Struthio camelus: one gene and its partners. The protein of the gene in region 2 interacts with the protein of the main gene of each other region in a pairwise test. Links are inferred from orthologs where the notes say so. Each region holds a gene or a part of one and is shown on either strand. Other genes may lie near its edges.

Region 1 (7,676 bases), on a different chromosome or scaffold from region 2:
TGCAAGCAGCCATTGCTGTCCTTTCCCTATGTTGGTTCACAGCACTGTGCAGGGCAAGTGTTTGTGCTACCACACAGTGAGACGGGGCAGGGAATTCCTCCCCCTGAACACAGCCCAGCAAGGAAGAAGGCTCTAGTTCACCACATGGTCACACAATCGTTTTCGCTAGCACAGCGAAGGAGCAAGTGACTTATGCACCACTGTTGCCTACAGTGACAAACTGCAGTTTCACATTACCTCCACCACAGTCTAACTGCAGGGTGTCACCAAAAGGAGCAGATCTACCTTCTTTCCTCATCCTCCTTCCCAGTGAAACGCCTTCCCTGCCCGTTGCACTCAATTTAGTAACTGCATGTCTGCAAGAGTCAGATCAACAAGCTCACCTGATAGAAAACTATGCACCCTCCCAATTCCAACTGCCCCAGCTCACCCCGCGGCTGTGTGATTGCTAGATCCAGCTCCAGGGAGGGCACAGAACAAGGCTGCTTTTGACAGCAGCTGCTATTTAGACTGGACCAGGTGTGACGTGACATACCTTAGCCTCCTTTTACTTCTAAATAAGCTAGTTTAAGCAATTGAAAGGACTAAGATATCTAGATGACCATAAGACAACAACGTATTTGTGTATTACTGAATTTGTTAGCATCACTGTGGCAAAACCATGCCAAGAGGTATTCAAACTAGCAAACATCTAGGATGTATGAAGACCTAATTACAAATATGCTGAAATGCTATGGCTATATACACATAACCTCAGCAGTTCCAAAATGACTGATCTAAATCCTCACACTCCACAGAGAGATCATCTGCTAACTGACCACTGTCTGGAAGAAGTGAATAGCACCTGCACATCCTTAAAGATAAGGACAAGAGTAAATCCAAGAACAACTCCTTCCTCCTCTGGAGTATCATAAAAAGGATACACCTCCAAGCTTTATTTGGTAAAAATGTGACTAAAATGGACAGATCTAATTTGAAACTAACCTTTTTTTAACCCTGGAATCTGATGATAAAAAGACATAGAAGGAGGCATAGACAAAATATTTGCTTGGGGACCATCTCATGATGATATATGCACCGTCCTAAGATTTCAACTTCTACTTACTCTTACAGTTTTGGATATCCTATCAAAAAAGTGTCATTTGTTTTCAAAAATCCAGACTAACCCTAGGATAGCAACAAGCGAAAGTTTTCCAAGAACCACTACTAATGGGCAGAAAAATACTTTAAGTGAACTATTTATTGTCCTGAACCTTAAAGACCATCTCTAGTCTTATGTGAAGGACTGAGCTCAAATCTTTTGGTGATCACGTGAAGAAACTTTCTATGTATTAAGAAGCTTCATATCACAAGTATATTTCCACGCGTAAGCAAAAGTTTCACCCTTTACATCCTGAACTTCTGTAATTGAGCTGCTTTTCTGAACTTCCTGTTACCAATTTTAAAATGCATGCTTTTAACGTTCAACATTAAAGCTCATATATAGTATTTTCTTCTGTTGTTCAAAATCCAGTCAGCTACTGAAACGCTTCTGGTGAGCAAGCTGGCATAACACAAAGGAATCTGATTTTGGGCTTTTTTTTTTGTTTGGTTTAAGTAGAGAATCTATTAGCCTGTTACAAAAACAAAGCATACAAAAAATATATCGTTTTCCCATTAACCCGATACCTTTGCAGCCCTGGAAAGAGCTCTACTGCAAATACTACTCTTAACAGCTCTACCAGGCAGCACAATGAAGCACTTTGGCCACCTTCAATATCATTGCTACCCATTTGTTTGCAGCAGACATGGATATCGACAACCTTTGCTTAAGCAGCAAAGCGAATGAAACCAGATACGAATGAAACTGGACAGAAGAAGCCCACTCGAGATTTCAGCATAAGGTTAAAAAAAGTCTTCCTGTTTGTGGAAGAATTTAAAGAAAAACGAATGAGGGAACTCTCTTTTTATTCAGCAAGAGGAAGTGCAAGTCAACAGCAGAAAAAGATGCAGTAGCATATGTCACGTCCAAACGCTTCCTAGAGCGGGTAGGAACCCTCGATTCTTGAGCCATCCAGCTGCGCGGGCAGCCCCGTAGGTGTGTTTTGCTCCTTACGTGACCCAGGCAAAGAGACTGGACTGAAGACCGGGCTCCGCACCGCCCCCGCCACCTGCCCCGACCTAGCCCTTTTGGGAGTCTCCAGCCAGAAAGACGTCTCAGAAGCGCAGGCTCCCCAGGCGGTCTCCGGCTCTAAGGAGCCGGCCTCGCCTCGCGGCCGCCGGGAGGGCCGAGGCCGCGCTCCGGCCGCAGAGGCGCAGGGCGAGCGGCAGCCCCGCGCACAGCCCGCCCCGGCGGCGGCGGCGGCGGCGCCCGCGCTCTCCCTCCGCGCCCGCCCGCCCGCCGCGGCAGGACGACAGGCGGCTCCGGGGCCGGCGGGAACTTGCCTTGAATGACGTGCTCGGGGGAGATGGTTTTCTTCTCCGACTTGTTGCAGATCTCGTTGGCCTCGGAGGAGATGAGGTGGATGAACTCGGTGCAGCAGTTCACCACCAGCTCCCGGGCGTCGTTGGCCACGCGCACGTTGGGCAGCGTCTCCTTGATCATCTTGTTGATGGCCGCCCGCGGGATGGTGAGGTCGTCGTCGTTGCCCGAGGACGAGGCCATGCCGGCTGCCGCTCGCTCCCCGAGGGGCGCTGCGCTCCCGCGCTCACCGCTCCCCCTCGGCCGCCGCGCGGGGCTCCGGGGCGGGGCGGCGGCGGGGGGGGAGGGAGGGGGGTGCGAGGCGCGGCGCGGCCGCGGCGCGGACGGACGGGCGGGGTCGCGGGCCGGTGCGCGGAGCGGGCGAGCGCTGCCCCGGGCTCAGGGCTCCCTCGGCCGCGGCGCCTGCCACTGCCGCCTCCGCCACATCCTTCGGGGCGCCGGCGCCGCCGCCTTATGACCCGCGCGGAGGGCAGCGGAGCGGCCAAATCGGCGGGGCGGCGCGGCGCGGCGGGGCACGGCGGCTCCCCCGGCCGGCGGCGGCGGCGGCGGCGCGGGCTGAGCACGGGCTCGACCTGCCAGCCACGGCGCTTCCGCCGGAAGCCGGGTCAAGCTTCCGCCGCCGCCGCCTGGCCCCGCCCCGCCCCTCGCCGCGACCGCCGGAAGGGGGCGGGCGGCGGCGCCGCACGGCGGGAGGGGCCGGGCCGCCTGGGAGCGGGGGGCGGCGCTACGAGCGGGGCGTGAGCCCGGCGCGGGGGCGGCTGCTGCGTGGCGCGGCCCTGCCGGGGCCGCGGGCTGCCGCGCGTGGCCGGCGGCGCTCCGTCACGCCCGGCGGCAGCGCGGAGGGCCGCGCCGGGCCAGCCGCGGTTGAAACTAGGCTGCTGGCCTGGTCTGAGTCGAGTTGCGGCGCTAGGGGGAAGAGAAGGGAAAGGGAAGGACCTGCACCTCCTGCTTACGGTACTTCTTAGGGGGGCTTGGGGAAAGGACAGCCGCCGAGGACGGCTCCTGCTGCCGTAGCGAGTTTCGTGTAATTTTCCTTTTAAAAGGGGAAGCAAAGCCACTCCAGTGTTTTTAACGTCGAAATTGCCCAAGGAAGGGAACGGATTCACATTAGTTTTTAGTGATAAGGTTCTGTTTTTGCAGGAAATACAACAAGGTAAGAAGCAATTGAAAAAAAATGTTATTGTCCACTAGTTGTAGTCAGCAAGTAACCACTGCCTATAAAGCAAGTATTCATAACGTGATATATATATATATATATGTAAAAATAATATTAAAATACTCTAGTTGCACTTTTTAAAGGATTGACGAGTATTTTTCTTGTATATTCTGCAGTTAGTCCTGATTTCTGGAAGTGTGATGCTACTGTGATTGAGGAGTTACCATACTAGTAAGCAGAAGGATAAAATAATTTTATGATTTGAGAATCTATCCATAATTTACATGCAGTACACATCTCAGGTTATGTTATAGTCTAGTAAGTGAAGGGGATCAGATTAGTATTTAATACATAAATGTCAATTAATGTTCACATTTCCACAAAAACTGATCTCTGTAAAAGGCAAGAGCTAAACTGACCAAACCTGTAGAAGATTTTACTTTCAAGAGTCTGGAAACTGTAAAGTTCAAGATAAATAAACTGAGCTGAATATCTTAGCTAAGCTCAAACAAACATCTTGATTGCCTTTTTAACAATTACAGAGCAAATACATTTTAATAACAACATACTGTGTTATCAGTAGCTAGAACAAATTATTCAGATGTACACAGAATAAACTGGCATTTATTGTGAGGGTTTTCCCAGGTCAAAGCTCTTTCTACTTCTCCACCTTAGCAGTTTGATAAAGTTAAGACTCGCGCTGAAGACTTTGTCATGATGAAAAACCATTTTGTAGAATGTATCAATGGGTAGATCTCCATTTGGATCTGCATACTTCAGAGTTGTCATCGGAGTATACAAGGTGTTGGTCTGATGGCGAAAAGGCGGATTCTCTGCAAGAATTATCTTTACTGTATGCTGTCAAGAACGAGAAAGTAAATCGTTAAAGAACTTTGAAAATCATTTTTTTAAATTATTATTTTGATAAGTTAGGCAGAGGAAGAGTGGGAGAATAAATTTTAGAGTTGTGTAAAACCCTGTATGAAATTTAATTAGAATTTAATTAGAATTGTTTCTTAGAACAATTTTAAGCCAAAAGAAAAACTTCTTATTTCTTCTTAATCCTATTTCTGTTCATCTAGACTATGGTGATGACACCTTACACCTAAGTGTACTGAGTAGTCCTTCAAGATTATCCATGTAGGCCCTCAATAGATAGATACCTCCTTTTACAGTTCACTGGAAAAGGGTGAGAATGGTGCACTTTGCAACAAGACCCAGGAAGCTTCAGCTGACACCCAAGCTATCCCTTAGCAGCCAGCACCTGAAGTCATTGTTCTCTCCCCCAACTTTCCAGACTTTGCTTCCTGCAGAAAGCCTCAAACAACGGAAACTATATCCTTTATTGTACCTTACCGGTTTCACAACTGTCTTTTAAACTCTTTGGTAATTCTTAAATTACAACACACACATCCCCTCGCCCCCCCCCCCCCCAAAAAAAAAAAAGAGAATTGTTGATGAGTTACCTCTGCAACATCCTCAGCACTTTGCCCCAGGCTCTGGAAAATTTGTTTGTAATTTTTAAGGTAAATGTTAGTAAACATCTCAGCTGTTTCCTTGTCTGCAGCTGAAAGATCCATTTTCATTCCATCTTCAAAAACTTTTCTTTCAAACTCTGTGACCACTGGGCCGGGTTCAATCAGACTTAACCTGTTCAAAGAGCAAAGATACACTGGTTATAGAGTCTTCTGCATGGGAAATACATGCAGCTATCCTTCTTAAAGGATATTGAATAGTTACAGTACCCGTTAGCAAGCAATATTGAATGGTACACTCTGTAATGGTGATCCATACCACATTTCTGGCCTGCAGCTCTTACCCATCCGCGTGTAGATGTAGAAAAAAAGGATAATTTAATTTCTGGGAAGCGTTCTAACTTAGTTTGTGGCAGAACTGAGTGCAGTTGTTACCTGCTGTCTAACAACTGTGGAATCTGAGGATGATTAAGCCATGAGATCTCCTCAAAGATTAAGAAAAGCAATTTAAGGATGATTACAAAATTCATTACTTTCCGGACAAAATCCTACATAGATTTCTTTACCATAGCTTTCACATGATAATACTCAAAGTAAATGAAAAAAAAAAGGTGAGGGAGGGAGGGGGGGGGAAGGAAACTGCCCAAATAGATTTTCTTTGTCAAGCCTTCAGCGTTACATAATTGCAGAGCACTCTATAAAATTATATAAAATACAATATGGAGATTTTTGCTGTGGATGGACAGATTTTGGCTGCTGCCTTACCAGATATCTGGAAAATCAGATTTTGATCAGTAATGTATTATAGCAAATCACTGAAATACGTACACTTACTGACCAACTGTTTTCCATTTCTACTCTCAGGTAGTACTTACCTCCAGCCACCATGCTTATGAAACAACTCTTTTGGATAGGACTTTTTCGTAGAGATGACTTCTGCTCAGGCTCTTCTTTAGAACTACTAACCTTAGAAGCTACTGACCTTGACAGCAGAATTCCAGCTGCTGCTGGAATTACAGCCTTTTCGCTTGCGTAATATAATCATTTAAGCTGTCAGTCTCCTCACTGGGCCTTGGACTTTTTCCATTCTACTTGCTGGGCACCACGTTTTGTTTGTTTACCTCCTTTCCTCTGTATCTCAGAGTCTTGAAATCTTATAAATTCTATCATACCCTGTATATCATTACATCATGACTTTTCAGAGCTGGGTGCAAAACGCCCATTTGGATGCAGCTTTGTCTCTGGAATCACGTGAAAGCAGCTGTCTCTTCTCCCACAGCACAAGGGCTAAATGCTCCGGCATACACAGGTGCACTGGATGTTTAACAATTGTTGGACTTCACACATACAAAGTAGCAGCAAAGTTTCATCCTGTAATATGCCAATGTGAATGTATAGGTGACAAATCAGACACCTAAATCCCACAGGCCACCGACTGGACCATTCTCTTAAATACTGTCTTAAACAGTAAGAAAATACTACGCTGCAACACTAAATTGTTCCTTGCCTTCCTTTTACCTCCAGCCCCTAGGGGTTATCTCAGTCTGTGTGCCCTTCTGATGAATTTCCACTGCATTCTCTCTGTTATGATGCCCTTGAACTTTTTAATCTTTGGATTGTCTAAGAAATAAAGACTCTTATCCTTTCTAAAGGAAAGTATTACAGGTTGGTATTATAATTCTATTCAAATGGTATCGTATGCAAGAATCGGTATTTTTAAGAAGTACATTGACCTCTATTTTGTTCAAAGCTAAACAGCCTTACGCTATTCAAGATAACATGCTTCGTTAGCATCTAAGCCTTTTTAAGGGTTTGTTTCATTTGAAGGATGAGAACATTTCTGTGCCATTTGTGGTGTACAGTTGCCATGGGTTCCTCAGTTTGTTTCTCCTAGACAGTAGCAAGCTTAAAACATTTGTTTGCTAGCTCTGAATACATTTTAAAACTAAAATATAGTTCACATCTGTGGATCCATACTTACTGGAGCTTAAACTTGAGTGCCTGTATAGCTAAGCTTTCGCAGAATCCTTCCACAGCAAACTTAGACGCAGCATAAACATCATTAAATAAGATACCTGATGGCACAAACAAAACATCCAGAGAATGTGATTGTATGCGACATACTTATATTGTAGTTCTTTGTTATACTAATCTTTTAGTTTAAGAACCACTTGTATTTTCCCCAAATTTCTACAGTCTTGCTGGGAAAACATAAAAAAATCCTTGTTTATGTCAATCTAGTGAGCTAGTTCTAGCAATATTAAATATTGCTGATTTTTGTCACGTGAACTCAAAATTACTTATTCTAGAAAAGGGTACTTGACGAGGTCTTTTCCCCCTCCTAGTTGATGCTGGGGTCTTTTTGAATTATACTAAATATTTTTTAGCCTAATGTACGAAGGTGTCTATACATACAATACCATCTGCATTATTCATCAGCAAGACTTTAATAGGCTGTAGAGAAACACAGAAGCTGAGTGCAATGCAGGGGATAAGATAATACAAGAGATCCAGCTTGCATCTGAGGGACTTTGAAAAAGCAGGACATCAATCCACTTAGATGGAGAGTAAATACTGTATTAAA
Region 2 (8,031 bases):
CGGCGTCTCTTTTTACTGGTGGTAAATTCCTCCAGCGCGTTCCCTGCGTTGCCTCTGCAGGCTGCGCACCACGGCTGAAATGGCAGCCACGTGCCAGGAGGAAACCCTCCTTCGCTGACTTTAACTCTGTCCATCCCTAAAACAGCACCGGACTCGGCTAGCCCGGCTGCTCCCGGGGCAGCGGTGCCCACCTTTGCCGCGCTCGGCTTTCTGCGGGGCGCTGGCGCGGGGTCGGGTGGCCGCCGCGGGTGCCCGCTGCCAACCAGCCGACCCCGACCCGCCTGCGCAAACGCTCCGCTGGTCGGGGAGACGGGGCACAGGCAGGTACTGCCGGGGGGCAGAGGGAGAGGACGGAGCGAGCGCCGGGGCTGGGGCTCTCCCTCGGTACTCTTTGAGTCCCAGGTGGCACCACTGGCTTCAGAAAACACCTATCTGGTGGTTGCCTGCATCAGGGCTGGTGCCTGGGGGTGATGCTGGACCGCCAGGCAGCGGGACGCGGCGCTCGGCCAGCGCCCGTCCGTGGCGGGGAGGACGGGGGAATAACTCCCCTTGCAGCCGCTGCGGGGCAAGGGGACGGCGGGAGAGCTGGGACGGGCGCTGGGACGCGGACCGAGGAGCAGGAATGGCTGAAAGAACTAAATATGGAAAACTTGGATAAAACATAGCTGAAGCAGGGAGATGCTTTCCTCACAGAATTCAACGCGTATAAACAAACCCGGGGAGGGAGAGAGGTTGTCTGGAGGGGGCCTTTGTGAGTAATATTTAGAAATACTAGCTGAAAATATCTCTGTAGAAAAGGCTGTTTTATCAAAGCAAATTTCCAGCGTTGTGCGGGAAAGAGTCAATTCTGGGCACCTGTTGTTTTGGGGGAAAAGGCAGCTAAAACAAGCGCCTCAAGACGGTGGAAAGCTTCTCCTCTTTCGGCTTTTCGACGGCCACGTTTCGGTTATAAAACATGAAGTTTCACAGCAATATTGAAGGAAAAAAAAAAATATGCGATTTTTACCGATACGAAAGTTTCTGACCGCCTCCCTGGTTTTCTGCTTTGCTTGGCAGGCTGCTCCGGGACGGCTGGCCGTCCTCGCGCCGGCAGGGCCGCGGGGCTCGCCGTCCGCCCGCCCGCTGGCCGGGGAAGCGGGGTCGAGCGAGGGGGCTGCAGGCTGCCCCCGGGCTGCCCTTCACCCCGAAACAGCAGGATGGACGAAAGCCCCAGGCTTAAGTCTGGTGTCGGGATCCCGCTGCAGCTCTCCCCCCTCTCTTTAATTCGTTAAGGAGCTCTGCTGGCTGATCTGTCAGATCCTCCCCGCCGCCTCCTTTAGGTTTTGGTTTTGTGTAGACGAAAAGGGGGTTGTTTAATGCGATTACTCCCTTAAGGCCCACGTAAGGGGATTCAAGGGCCCGCTGGCAGCGTGCGGTGGAGGTGGCAGCGGGCGCCAGGAGAGCCCGGCGCCGCCTCCTGCAGAGAGCGTGCCCGCACGAGGCAGCAGCTTCGCAGCCCGGCTTTTGTGGGCTCCCCAAGCCAGGACGTCCCGTGTGGGCGAGCCCGGCATGCCGCGCGCCCTCGGGGAGAGCCCTGCACCTTGTCGAGAGGTTTGTGGGGAGAGGATGGTTTACCCTGGGACTGGCGGGAGGGGAAGAAGAGTTAAACGGTGGGCAGAAACGGTGTGTTTTTGGAAAGGCTTTTCCAAAATAACACTGCCTCCCGGGCAGGGGTTAGTCGCTGTCCGGAGCCAGGCGGTGGGGTGGCCCCTGGGTGGGCAGGGTGACTTGGAGGGCAGGCTGGCCGTTCCCGTCCCCTTGGCACGGCTGGATCCCTTGCCCACGGGGAGGAACGCGTTGCTCACGATGCTCGGGGAGGTTGTCGGTGCTGCGTCAGCTCCTGCAGCCTTCTCCGTTGCTCCTGCAACGTGTCCCACTTCTCGCAGGAGAAAGAGCTGCAGTGAGATGCTGCAAAATCTCCTTTTACCGTTCTGCAGGGAGCAACTGGGTCACGTGGACTCACCAGTGTCCTACTGGGAGAGCCAGCGTGGTTGATCAGCGCTGGGGATCAGCCAGGCAACAGGCGCTAGCACACTAGCAGCTGTCCTGTCTGCTTCCAGCCAGGATGTGCCGGGCTTTGGGAAACCCACCCTTGGACCTGGGAGCAGAGACACCGACTGGATCTTTGCAGTGGGACCAACTGAGCTGACCCGAGTCCCGGCTTTTAGGTGGGAGCTGCATCCTCTCCCCACTCCGGGAAGATGAGAGGAAAGTGCTTCCCTGGAAATCAGGTCTCCCTGCTGGAGCTGGGCTGAGTGGCTTGGCTCCGAGTGGCTCTCTTGCAGCTCTTGAAGTAAACTTTACAGATTTCATAACCCTGCGGGTTTTTAATGACTTCTGTCACAAGCTGTGAAATGTGTAAACGCTCTATGCAAAGTGGCTGGGCTGGTCAAGCAGCCTTTGTGCTGTTACCTGATACGAGTTTGGATTTGCAGCGCAGAGAACGCAGCAGCTTAGGAGAGCGTGTCCCGTTAACTGCTCTGCTTTTCGCTGCACACCACGTTTGGGGCACTAGGAAATAAGCAGTTAAATAGCGGTAGAGCTGAGGCAGCAAGTCAGGGTGCAGGGTGCTTCCACGTGGCTCCCAGTTTTTGGAGCAGCTCCGCTCTGCAATAAAACACCCGCTTTCCTGGCACCAGCTCAGAGGGGGCCCTGTCCCCTGCTGAGGAGCCCTGTCCCGACACTGCCGGCCCAAACCACAGGATGGCACCCAAAGGGACGTGTTTTTCTGTTCAATTTAAGGGACAAGGTTTCTACAAAGCCTCCAAAAACATGTGTGCATGTGTACACACATATTGAGGTACACTCTTAATACTTAAATAGAATAAAGATGGTCCCAAAGTGGGAGATGTGCCAGGTTATGAGCCCTGGGGAAATTCGGAAGGATGGTTTGCAGTCACGGGGTGGGTATGACCCTGGATGTGACACAGGAAATGGGGCAGCCTGCTGGACTAAAGGGCCCCAAAATCTGGCCTCAGCTACCTTCTCTTTCCCCTAGATCTACAAGATGGTGTGTCTGTGTCCGGTCAGATGCCAGTACATAATTCATTGCCATTTTTTTGTAATACATCAGGGGAGTCTAAACTTTTCTTTTCTTGGGGATTATTGCCCCAAAGCAATAGCTCACTTGGGATTAGTCCAGAGTTCAGCTGTAATGGGAGTCACATGGGATAGGAGAGGGCCGAATCGAGGCAAAGGGCCAGGCATGTAACCTCTGCTGTAAGATGCAATTTTCACAAGTGTCAAATAAATTCAGCCCTTCTGAAACCTGGCTCCAGAGTGCAGTAAAGCTCCTCTGGGTCTTACTGCTGATGCAGGAGAGAATGGGCTGAGCAGGTAGCAGATGTCGGTAAGTGTGAAATCAACAAACCACAAAGAAATTTATGTAAGCACCAGTAAATCAGAGAGCGGAAAAAAGCATTTTTCTCCTTGTTTTTCTTGGCTCCTCCACGTTCTGGGTAGGCTGGCACAGAGACCTCTGTGTTTGCAGAGGGCTACAAGCCTTCTTGGGGAAGCTGAGCTGCTCTGAACAATGCAGCCATTGCTGCTGAGAGAGCAGGTGGGAAGGAAACAGAGCATCGCGGGCTTAGTGCAATAGCGCACAATAGAATTAAGCTGGAGGAGGAGTGGGGCATTGTGTAGAAACCCCTTGAGTGGGGCCTGCTGAGCGGCAGGAAAAACAGCTGGTTTGTTCCACAGCTGTGCCTGGCAGCAAAGTCAGCAGCATCACTGGCTAATTGATTTATAAATGAGTCATTTTGAAGAGGGGGCTGTATAACATAACATGTATCACCACTCTCGAACGTTACAACGAGAGCTGAAGCCCTGCTCAGAGAGAATTAAAAAAAAGAGAGAGAGAATTAATAAAAATAACTGTGGCATGTATTTTATTTCTCTTGGCTGCTGTGCCTTGCAAGTGCCCTGAGGTCGTGAAGTCGCAAAAATTTCAACAAAACTGCAGGAATTCACTGCACGATGTCTCCCATTTCAGTGCCAACACACAGTCTTCAGGACAGCCTGGTTCTGAAACCACATATGCGACCGCAGAGATTTGTTGCATTTCCTACCTTTGGGCAAATGTCATGCAACAGAAACCACAGACACTGACTGTGCCTGCAGCAAGGGCTCTTTCTCCTCTCTCACGTAGGGTGCAAACCATACGCAATGAAGCACTGTACCAGAAACATGCCAATCGTCAGCAGACGTCTCCATTTTCAGAAACTCTGCAGAGAGGGTCAGTGGAAGCACAGGAGCCAGCCGGGACCTGGCTTTGCTTTCCCATGACCAATGATATTAAAGCACCAGACAGGCAAAACCTCCTTCTAGCTGTAAGTTGGATGCAATCAACTCGGGCACCAGGGGGACAATAAGGAAGCCAAGAAGTACCGCTTTAGAGTCGTTTTTCAGGATACACTTTTCCATGGGAAAAGCACTGAAGCAGCATGAGTCACACGTCAGTGTAACACATCCCCCGGAGCCAGAAAAGCAGCGCCTGGGAAGCGGGATGGCCGAGCTGGAGCACAGACTTTTGCTTGAATCGGCTCCAGCTGGGGCAGGAGAGCAGCAGGCGGCTGCGAGGACGGCCCAGGGGCCGACGCGAAGCGAGTTGGACAGCTCCTCGCCCGGGGGCCCTTCCCGGCCGCCGCACGAGCGGGGCCCAGGGCAGCGCGGCCTGGGGGAGCGGCCGCTCGCCTCGGCCCCGGGCCTCGAGCCTCGGTACCGGCGGGGCCCAGCCCGGTCGGGGGGGCGGCCTAGGCCGGGGGCGGACCGAGCCGGGGAAGGCCCCAGGCCGGGCTAGGCTAGGCCAGGCCAGGCCAGGCCGTGCGGCGGCCCGGGTGCCCCCCCGGAGGCCAGCAGGCACCGGAGCCCCCTCCCGGCGAGCCGCGGGCCCCGCCCGCCGCTCCGCCCATGGCGGCGGCCTGCCCGCGCCCAACGGCGGTCTCGCGAGAGCCGCCCCGGGTCACGCGCCTGCGCAGGGGCCGCGGCCCAGGGGAAAGGGGCGGAGCCGCTCCGCCGCCGCCTCACGGAGCGGCCGCCATCTTGTTTCTCGGCCGCTGGGCTCTCGCTCCGCTCTGGTCGCCCCCTCCCCCCCCTCCTTCCCGCCTCCCTTCAGCCGGGCCGGAGGCAGCGCGGGTGCCGGGCGGAGGAGGCGGAAGTGGCGGCGCTGGCTACCCCGGTGAGTGCGCGGGGTGCGGGCGGGGGGAGTCCGGGGCCCGTGAGGGGGCGCGGGGCGGGAGCGGCCCGAGGGCTTCCCCCCTCCTCTCCCCTCCCCCATGCTCCGCGCCTATTGGCAGCGCCGCGCCCGCTGATTGGCCGGCGCGGGGGGAGGCGGGCGAGGGGTGCCGCGCGCTGATTGGCTGCCGAGGGGCGGACCGGGGAGAGGACAGGAAACCGAACCGTTTCCCCGCGCGGCCCGGAGCGGCCCGGAGCGGCCCGGAGCGGGGGGAGGGGAGGGGTGGGGCGCGCCCGGGGCTGCGGGGGGGGGGTAGGGGCGAGGAGGCCCGTGTGCGGCCCCGGGGCTGGCGGAGCGCCGGCGGCAGGTGCCCCAGGGCATGAACGGCCTTCCCAGGGCCCTCCCCGGGCAGGCAGCGGCTGCGGGGCCGGCCTGGCCGGCGTCAGCGGGTCACCCCCCCCCCCCGGAGCGCTCGGTGCCGCGTACCGGGGATGCTGCCTTTTACCGGCCTCTGGCTTTTAAAAGATCTCTCCAAAGTCTGGCTGACTTTTAAACTTGGTAGGAAGAGGGGCAGAATTGAAGCTGGGCCCTGAAAGTGCCTGGGAGTGTTCTGAAGGTCTCTGGTAAATATCCGAGGAACTGGTTAATCTGTGCTTGAAACCTAAACGTTTGAGCACCGAGAGTTGTGAAAACGTTTGCACAGAAGTACTGTTTCCCTAGGTTTTTCTTTTTCCCAAGCTGAGGAAATGAAAGAGAGGCCCATCAGTAACGGTGTAATGTTATACATTAAATACCCCGTGAATATGGTAGGGATGAAAGCTAATTATTTTGGGCTGGGTTAGACTGCATTGAGATCAGTTCTTTCGTAGGCCGTGTCGCTAGCTGTGCTCGTGCGTCGATGCCTGTGTGGGGTCAGGAATGAGTGGTGGGTGTAGGATAAACAGGATGCCACAACTTGTTCTTGATTGCAGCGCTGGCTTGTGCTTGCTGTAATTGAACGGTATCCAGGGCTGATATGGGAACCCGGAGCTCTCAGCAGACTTCAGGTTGCTTACAGCAAAAGAAATTATAATGCTAGCTACTTGTCCTGGACTCTGACTTATTACCTTTTGAGACACTTGTCTTATTGAGTAGTGTATTCTCTATGTATTCACAAATAAATACTTCTAATCCGTCTCAATAGCTGTCTGAGTACGTGCGATTAAAATAGAAGTCTCAACTGACTTCGCTTACGATGTCGACCAAACATTCTGCAAGTATGTGGTTAACTTTTTCTCTTCTATTCCTATATCCAGAAAATAGACCTCTTGGGTCATCAAATGTAATTTGCTGCTGTTGCCCTTGGCAACATGATATGTCTTTTCTTAGGCTTACCATTGCCCTTCTTAAATTAGGTTGAATTTTTGGACTGGACTGCTGCTGGATCTGTGTTTGTCTTCAGTTGAAGTGTATTCTGGTTACCAGTCTAAACTTATCTGTGCCCAGCTTACCATCTGTAAGCACTGGTCATAAACAGTAATAACCTGATGTAGTTTTGCTTCTGGCATCACCCAGTCCCTCATAAGGACTTTGGTTTTCCATGTCACTGCTACTCACAGCTGCTCATTTGAGGTCTGGCGTGTGCTGGCAACCTTTGGTCCACTTTGAGCACAGCACAGTGCAAGGATTCAAACACCTTTCAGGATGGATGCAGACTTCTTGGTCAAACAAAGCAAAAAGTGGTGCTTTGAAAGCCCAGTGCAGCACAGAGAGAGTTGTTTCCTCAGAGCGAGGACTGAGAAACATGTATAATCCAGCTGGATCTCAGATGTGCTGTGGGTTGGCCGGGTGACCTTGAGCCAGTAATTTATCCTGTTCTGCCAACTTGTGCCCTCTTATTATTTTGTACTTTATAAAGATAAGAAGTGCCACAACCTGCAAAGATGCAATGGTCGATTATATTGGGTTAATAGCATACATTTCTCCTGATGTCTTTCCAGGAGTGTTTAAAGCTTTTGAGCAGGATTTTCGCAATTCTTTAGCGATAGCTTCGCTGCCCTGTATGACTTCAGAACAGGAACAGATACAGCAACTGAAATAGCTCCCTTAGTGCATACGTTCCCAAACTGAACTTATTTTATCACTGTCATGGAGAATTATTAAATACTGTGAAAGTAATAGTTGTTCCCATGGTCATTCTGGGTCATATCTGCACGTAGGAGAGGGGCCTCTAGATCCTTCCCCTCTCACCTGGAGACAGTGCGTCGCGCCATGGCATGAGGAGGCACATGAGAATGTGTTTGGGCAGTTCTTACTGCTCAAACATCCAGATAGACATTCCTCTTCTCTTCTGCAGGAAAAGATGAGGGGCTGTTTTGGTTTTGTTTTGCATACTGCTTTAAAGTACCTTGCATACCTCTAATAGTAGGCATACCACAGCTTGGAGGCCCTTGCTTTTATGTGTGGAATGACAAAGGAAGAGAACAAAGCATTACTAAGTATTATTTTTTTAAGATGTCACATTTTAACCAATTATATTTAATAAATCACTGGAAAGATCTATTTTTAAATTAATCTGGTCTTGCTATCTGATTCAAAGTATTTTAATAGTGGTTAAGCATTCACTATGCCTCGTATTTCTTTTTTCCTCCACTGCTCTGGATTTAATCCTCTAAGCATATTATTTTCAAGCAGTAAATAGTATCTTGGAATGCAGCTTGAAATGCATGTGGGTATTGTTGATAACTTTCTGAAAGTGCAAAATAGTCCTATGTCTGCATAGGTAAAATATCATCTGTACTTTGTAAACACGTTATTCCAAGCCTTCAGTCTCCCTAAGA
Region 3 (7,663 bases), on a different chromosome or scaffold from region 2:
GCAAGAACCCAATCTCTCTCTCTCTCTCTCTCTGAGAACTCCTTTGCCAACACAAAGAACAGGGCAAACATAAATAAACTATTAGGATGTTTGTGTGCTTTTGGAGGATAGCCCTCAGGCATCAATTTGGTGATAAACCCATCATTTTCAGATTAGCTGCACCCTCTGTGCTGAAGGTCTCAGTCACTACAGAGGAACAAGATATTGCTGCAGAAAACAATACCGAGCAAACACAGAGCTAGAAAATATCCACAAGATATCGTCAAAGTCAGTCCACCTATGACTTCTACTTCTTCCAGATCAGTGTCCAAGTACCTTATAGAAAAGTACAGTGCTTAAGCTACAGCTTCAGTACAGCTACTACGTATTGCACGCACCACCCTCCTAGAAGGTTGCTAGGTGTTTGTGAGCATAGGCTGCTTTTCAGAGAAACTCAAAGAGTAGCAGATTAAGCTACAGACAGAGTTGAAAAGATACTTTGACATGAATGTAAAAAACCAAAATCTAAAAAACAAAAACGTACTTTTTAACCATGACCAAATTAAACTCCCTAGGGTAAGGAAATGCAAAGATTACATCACGGATCATCTGGTTCTCAAAGGTCTTTTTCCACTAGTGCGGTTTTTGTAGCCAACACAGCAGTCAGACTGCAGTACTACGAAGTTCGGGAAGAAAGTTACATTTGAACACCATGCAGAGTTAGGTTATTGTTCAGTTATTGGAACTTCTGACCAAAAGCTGTGTTCACCCACTTGAAGCCCTGGACTGATTTCACACCCGATCTGGGAACCTGACTTTACAAAGAATTAACTTCCTAGAGCAGTCAAGGCCATTCACTAATCAGGGTCATTCACCCTTTAATTTCTTCCAAGTCCAGACTTAAAATAAAAAGCTGTACAGCAAGCTGTGAGGATCATTCAGACCCAAAATTGAGAGGACTGCTGAGATTTAGGCAGCAAACAAGAAGTAAAAAAAAACAAAAATACCCCCCACACACAAACCAAAACCCTTGCAGAATTTTAAATCCTGAGATGAGTTCACATCAAAATAAAAAAACCAGGACTCTATTATATCATCTCTCCAGGAAAATCCACTCCATTCTGAGTAAGGTAAAAGACCTTCTCCTTTCTCACCGAGTTCCACATTCCTGAACCACATTTCACTGAGAAAACACCAACAGCTCAGAAGACCTGGCTCAAAGCTCATTAGAACTTGCCTCAGCTTCCATGCAGACCTATAGAAGACATTATTTTGCAGACAACAATAAACATCATCTTTAATTCGCATCATGAACTTTATCAGTGATAATCAAGCCCCTTGCATTTTCCTAAGACAGATGCTTGTTTTACATATTACGGAGAAAAGAAACTGCCTCCAATGGCTACCAATTGCCCTGCAAATCAATTGCAATCAAACTTAAAAGCACCAGTTCAGTTCTGTCTTCCACCTATTAAACAAGGACGCTTTAGATACACACACACACCCCCCTCAAAGTAGACCTTTGTTTAGGATTACTGTTCAGCAAAGTCAAAAAAGATATTCAACAAAGCAAGTCAGAGCAGTGAATTTTCTTATTTCTGCTGAGGACCTGTTTTAATTTTCAGTCTAGATCAGATAATTAGTCCAACTATAGTTTTTACAGGTTTCCAGGAGCTGTTCAAGAAAAAAAAAAATAATAATAATATAATTCATTCTAGCTTTGTACTTCAGCGGAAAAAACATTTCTTCTCATTTATCTGACGTCTGGCGTAAACGTTAAAGCAATTTATGATGACATAAGGAACAAAAGGAAAATTTAACAGTTACATCCGTTTCATTTTTAGAATAAAGACGTGGAACAACCTCCTCTGAAAGGAGCTAGCGGCAGCACAATTCCATCCATTCTTTATAACAGACTTCAAACCAACCAGTGGAAAAAAAAAAAAAACCCAAAACGGACAACACAGCACCGTTTGCTGGATAGACTCGGGATGGAAAAAGGAAATGGAAAGGCAATTAACTTTTTGTTCCCCCCCCCCCTCAAATCCTTGATCATTTTAACAGCCAAAAGCTCCGAGTTCGAAGAAGCGCGCAGCAGCTGTCCAACTCCGACAGGTGTGCGTGCCCTCCAGCTGGGCCGCCAGCCTTGCGCCTTCCACCCCTGCTACCCTCTAACATCGCTTTTTTTTTTTTTATTTATTTTTTATTTTTACGACCGCGGTTATTGCCGTAACATCCCAGTACCACCCCGAGTGACTCAGTCTTGGTAAAAAGTCCTTGCCCAACAGGACTGGCCATCAGCTCGCCGGGCCCCGACGGACCACACCACCGAGGGCGATCCCCCCGCGGCGGGTTTCCAGCCGCAGCCAGGGAGCAGCGGCGGCGATGCCACCCGCGGGACGCGCTCCCCACGCGGGGAGAGCCGGAGCCACCCAGCAGCGGCCACTACGGCGCCACCCGCGTCGCTCTGCGCTGCGGGGGTGGGTGGGGGGGGGCGGACACCTCGCGGGCAGCCCCACTCGGGATCCCCCTCCCACGGCGGCTCCGGGGCAGCGCTCCCCCGCACCGAGCGCCTCCCCCTACGCCCCACGCGCCGTCACACGAGGACCGAGCAAGGCCGCACCCCCTCCCCACGCAGCTCTGCCTCCCGTGGCAGGCCCACGGACACCTCTTCCTCCCCCCGCGCGCCCTCGCACCCCCCGCTCGGGGCTGCCCCACGCGCCTCTCCACCCGCCGGGCGCGGCTCGCCGCCTCGCCACGGGGGCCAGGGAAGCTCCCCCCCCCTCCCCCTCGCTCCCCAACGGTCACAACGGCCCCCGCCGTCCCTCTCACCGTCGATGTCACCCAGCGTGAGCTCGTCGCCCAGCTCAGTCAGCGCCTCCATGTTCTCCGCGCCCAGCTCGCCGCTCTCCATCGCGCACGGGCCCGCCCCGCCCCGGCAGGCCGCACCAGGGCATGAACCGCCGCCGCCGCCGCTCAAGCCCGGGTTCCCGGCGAGCGCCGCCGACCCCGCGCCATCTTGGGCCGCCCACGGCCCGCCGGCCCCGCCCCCCACCTGCCCGCAGCTCCAGCCGCCGCTACGGCGGCGGCGGCAGCGGCGGCGGCGTCGCGCGCGCGCGCGCCTCCCGCGGTTTGTTGTCAATGAGACCAGGTCGCCCCTGACCAATCGGCGGGCGCGGCGGCGCGTGGTGTGATGGCGCGTCACCGATCAGCAGCTGCGATTAGCATAGCAGACCCCGCCCCCGCCTCCCCCTCCCCCTGCATTAGAATATTCATGAGGTGGGGGCGTGGCCGGCGGCGCGGGCGGGCTGCGCAGCGCCGAGCACCGCGCCGGTGGGTGGCGGGGGCGCTGCCCGCCGCAGGGCCCAGCCCGCACGGCGGTGCGAGGGAGGGAGGGAAGGAGGGAGGCTTCTTCCTGCCTCGGGGCTCCCTCCTCCTCACCCCCGAGGAGCGGCCATCGCGTGCCTTGAAGCCGCGTCGCACAACTAGGGTGGCCCCAGCCCCCTCCCAAGCGCCTCGCAGGGCCGGGTGGCAGGTGGCGACCAGCGCTGGATAAATCCGCCCCCGCGCGCCGCTGGACACGGGACAGTCCAGCAGGACGGGACCTCAGAGGTCTCTGCTCCAAGCAAGGCCCACTTTGGAGTTACACCAGGTTGCAAAAATTGCAGCAGGGAGGAATAACCAACTGGGTGGTTGCTGAAGGACCCCCGGCCCCGCACACCCCCGCATCCTTGCCATGTCCAGCAGCCTTTCCTCTCCCCCTGCCCGTTCACCGGGAGCCTCGACCAAGAGGGAGCTGCGGGCATGCGGCACCCTAGGGGGAAAATACATGATTTTGCAAGCTGAGGTGTTGCAGCAGCGCAGAGCCGCTCACGGCGCCTGTCGCTCCGCGGGCTCTCCGCGCCGTGACCCAACCGCTGGAGCCCGGAGAGAAAGCGATGGAGGAAATTAGCAGCTAACCTGCTCAGATGCTTTTGAAAAATCGTATTTAGGTGCAACTGCAGGCACCTAAATATCCTTGAACATCTCTCCCTGGGAGCCTAAAGGAGATTGCGAGATGGTGAGGAAGAGCGGCTCGGACCTGTTACAAAGCTGGCATGAAATCAGATGAAGGGGGAGAAACATTAGATTGAAAGCAGCAGTAAGTTTTGGAGGAAGGGGTTTTATTAAAAGGTGCTCCGATTTCCCAGGTAACCGGCTGGGAGAGTTGGCCTCATCCTTTTAGTATCTCCTCACTTAGGCACCTTCTAAAATAGCCAAAGCTACGGCCCGGAGACGCCCTTGGGCACGCGCCCCTTTTTGGGAGCGCTCCCACTGGGAACGCAATCAACACGCAGGCTTCTTTAAAAAAAAAAAAAAATCAGATTTATTCAAGAAAAACAAAACACTTCCCATCTCAACGCAAGTTCCCAACGCCCCCGTCGAACGTACCCGTCTCCGTATTTAAAAATAAAGGACGTTTCCCACCACTGGCCCCGTCAAGTCGCCCGAAGGCAGCTTGGGCGGCGTGGGAAAGCGCCGGTCCCGGGCAGGCGGGGGCCGACCGGCCGGCTCCAGCTCCTCCGGCACCGCCGACGCGCACCGAGGGAGCCGGGGGGAAGAGCTCCCTCCTCCCAGAGCCGCCCCCGGCCCCTCGCAGCAGGGGCGGCCCTGACCCCCCCCCCCCCAGCAGCGGGGTAGGTAGCGTTTGGATGGTGGGATTTTTTTTTTTTTTTTTTTGGAAAAGACTTCTGCAATCCAAAATACGGAGGGGGAGGGAAAAAAAAATCGGGTGGAAGGGGAAATTCGGCAACCCTGGCCGCTTCCACAACCAAGCCCCGTTGCGGTGCCAGGGAAAGGAGGGCGGAGAGGCCACGTCCGTCCCCGCGAGCGCCGCTTAATTCCCAATTTCCCTCCCGCCGTCCCCATCAGGAAACCCCTCCATTAGCCGCTCAGGGAAAACGGGGGCCGCGGCCCGGCCGGGAAAAAGGCTCTTTTGGCCTTTTTCAGCCGCCAGGGACGACAGGCGGGCGGCTGAGCCAAAGGGCGGCCAGGAGACGGGGAGATCCGGTGCATCGGCCGGGCAGAGATCGGGTATAACCGGGCTGGGGCGCAGGGAGCGGAAACATCACCGATTTAAAAAAAAAAAAAAAAAAAGAGGAAAAAAACCTCACAGAAGCAGCGTTGCCCACGAGGCCCCTTCGCTCCCGCCGCGAGCTCCCCGGCCCCCCCATCCCCTCGCCGCGGCAGGCCCGTTTCACGCCCCCGCGCCCCGGCTGGAGGGGAAGTTGGCGGAGGGGAAGGGGACGGGACGCCGCCAGGGGGTCCCCGCCGCCGGGGCCGGGGCCCGGCCCTACAAGTCGGACTGCGAGCGCGAGATGCGCGGGCCCTTGCGGATCTCCTTCCGCTTCTCCTCCTTCTTCCGCCGCTTCTCCTCCTCTCGCAGTGCCTTCTGCAAGGTGTCCGCGCTGGGGAAGAACTGAGCCGGGGAGGGGGGGGGAAATCACGGCGTCAGCCAGGAGGAGCAAGCCCCGAGGCCCCGCGGCCCCCGCCGCAGGAGCGGAGAGAGGAGGGCACGGTTTTGTACCCGCCAGCAGCTGGCACCAGCCTGGCCAGAGACGGGACTCCCTCCTCCGCTTCCCTTCCCAGCCACGCGCTCGGCCGTTCCCCTTCCCTCTCCCCCCCCAAACCTCCTCTTTCCCCACGGCACGAGGTGGTGGAGGAGGAGGAGAACCGCGGCCGCTTTGCCGTCTTACCTCGGAGTGGTCGGTTTTGAAGGGGTTGCGGTAATCGGGAGATTTCTCGCTGATTCCCAGCTCCTGAGCCATCTGCAGAGCAAAGCAAGGGCCGCGCGGCGGATGGCGGCGTCGCTCGTCGCCCGCCGCGTCCTTGCCTCCCCCCCCCCCCACCCCGAGCCTTCCCTCCTTTCTGGGCCCCTTCGCTCTCCCTCCAGCCCAAAGATGTCCCTCAGGCAGGGGAGACGCTCTCCAGCCCGGCAGGCACGGGAAGAGGCGAACGCTCCCTCTGCTTGCTCTCCCTTTACCCTCGCGCCCGTGCCCACGCTTTGCCCCCCCGGCAGCGGAGACGGGATACGACGGGCGAGACTCGGCCTTACCAGCCCCAGGACCTGGGAGTGGGGTCCCTGCTCAAACACCCCCGTCAGGTTGCAGAAACCAATCCCCCAGCGGATGAGGTTGTTCCAGTTGGAGTTGCGGTCGAAGTAGTGGTGCACGATCTTGGGGAAGCGCAGGACGACGTCCCCGAAGAAGGCCGTGTTCTCCACCACGTGGGAGTACGCTGCGGAGGAGAGCCACCCGGCCCTGTCGGCAGGCCGGCCCCACGCACTGCCCCGCTCCCGCCAGCCACGGTCCCCTCCCCAACCGCCAGGGCCCCCCACGCGTGGCCGGAGCACAGGGACGGGAGGAGAGGCTGCTTCCAAAGGACGCGGTGAGACTTCCCCTTCCACGTCCCGCCGCCTGCGGTTACGGACGCGCCGTGCGCCCAGCCCAGCCTCCTCGGGGGCTGACGTCCCATGATGGCTCCTGGCCCTCAGCAGCGGGGACGGGGCAGTTCCAGCTGAGGCTGGCTGGGGGAAGTCGAGGTTGGCTGCTGAGGTTGGATGTGGAGCAGATCCCGACAGCAGAGATCAGGGACGGGAGAGCTCACACAGGCTACAAAGCACCACATCAGCTCGGTGCCACTTGGGAAACGAGAGCAGGAAAGTCTAGAGACGGCTGCAACAGGCAGTGCCTTTGCCCTGTCCTAGCTGGGCAGCATGTTCTCCAGGGGCTTTGCAGGATCTACGTTTAAATCTCTGTTGTGATGAGGCCTCCTCTCCCCATATCCTTTGGGAGACTGCTGAACAAAGGCCTCCCCAGTGAAACTCAAATTCATTCAGAGTCATTTGCCCCTACCTCATCCTGGGAGCATCTAAATCCTAGTGGCAAAGATGGAGAGGCAGGGGGTAAATGGGCAGGATCCCCAGTATGAACTGGTCAGCGAGACCGTAATGGCTCCCCGATAGAAAACACCACAGGGACCAGTGGAAGATCCCCGTAGGGATCTCTGTAGGCAGCCCCAGGGATTTCATAGCTACCCTGGCACTGATCCCACACGAAAAGACAGAGATGCAACATAGCAATGGAAAAAGGAACGGGGGCAGAAGACCAGAGATGACCTACCATCTTTTAGCTTCTCGTCCTGAGGAAAAGGCCCATCTGGCGGCACATCTGCAGCTATTAGCACGGCCCGGGAGTCCTCCAGCACCTGAAAGGCTCTTGGTTACTGCCCATCCCGCCTGCCCTCCCCCCTTGCCCATCCTTGCCCCAACCTGGCCCTGCTCCCCTCTGTCCAAGGGCAGCCTTCAGGGGACCCCCTACTGCTGCAGCAGCCTACTCTGCCCCTCAGCTCGTCTCTTCAGCCCCACAGAGGCTCCCTGCTGCCGTTGCTTCTCCTGCTCGCCCTCCCCAGCGTCCCGGCCTGGGTGCAGCACCCAGCTCAGGGGCGAAGGGAGGGAGTGGGCAGCTCGCGCCAGAGCATGCCGAGCCCGGAGGAGAGCCTGCCCCGCGCCTCACCTTGAAGAGTCCCTTGAGCATGATGTCGATGATTTTGTACTGCTGGTTCACGTCGTTGAGCTCGATGAGGTTCTTCAGCGCGTTCATCTGGTCCTTGCGCTTCACCTCAAACAGCTTCTTATCTGCACCAC

Evidence for each region.
Region 1: the proteins of NFYC (region 2) and DR1 interact in binary tests that used the Homo sapiens proteins (3 or more experiments, as listed by UniProt). The link is inferred for Struthio camelus from reciprocal best matches to the Homo sapiens genes NFYC and DR1.
Region 3: the proteins of NFYC (region 2) and SREBF2 interact in binary tests that used the Homo sapiens proteins (3 or more experiments, as listed by UniProt). The link is inferred for Struthio camelus from reciprocal best matches to the Homo sapiens genes NFYC and SREBF2.

What each region holds. Positions count from the first base shown.
Region 1 is NC_090949.1:18,518,175-18,525,850, forward strand, and holds the start of DR1 (protein Dr1), read right to left. Parts: upstream 3,038-7,676; 5' UTR 2,645-3,037; coding exon 2,425-2,644; intron 1-2,424. Other genes in the region: retinol dehydrogenase 8, read right to left, coding at 4,242-4,475, 5,084-5,267, 7,074-7,167. UniProt on the Homo sapiens protein: The association of the DR1/DRAP1 heterodimer with TBP results in a functional repression of both activated and basal transcription of class II genes.
Region 2 is NC_090964.1:8,945,602-8,953,632, reverse strand, and holds the start of NFYC (nuclear transcription factor Y subunit gamma), read left to right. Parts: upstream 1-4,944; 5' UTR 4,945-4,947; coding exon 4,948-5,215; intron 5,216-8,031. UniProt on the Homo sapiens protein: Component of the sequence-specific heterotrimeric transcription factor (NF-Y) which specifically recognizes a 5'-CCAAT-3' box motif found in the promoters of its target genes.
Region 3 is NC_090942.1:56,592,885-56,600,547, forward strand, and holds the start of SREBF2 (sterol regulatory element-binding protein 2), read right to left. Parts: upstream 3,020-7,663; 5' UTR 2,894-3,019; coding exon 2,812-2,893; intron 1-2,811. Other genes in the region: CCDC134 (coiled-coil domain-containing protein 134), read right to left, coding at 5,312-5,437, 5,715-5,786, 6,074-6,255, 7,140-7,224, 7,533-7,654.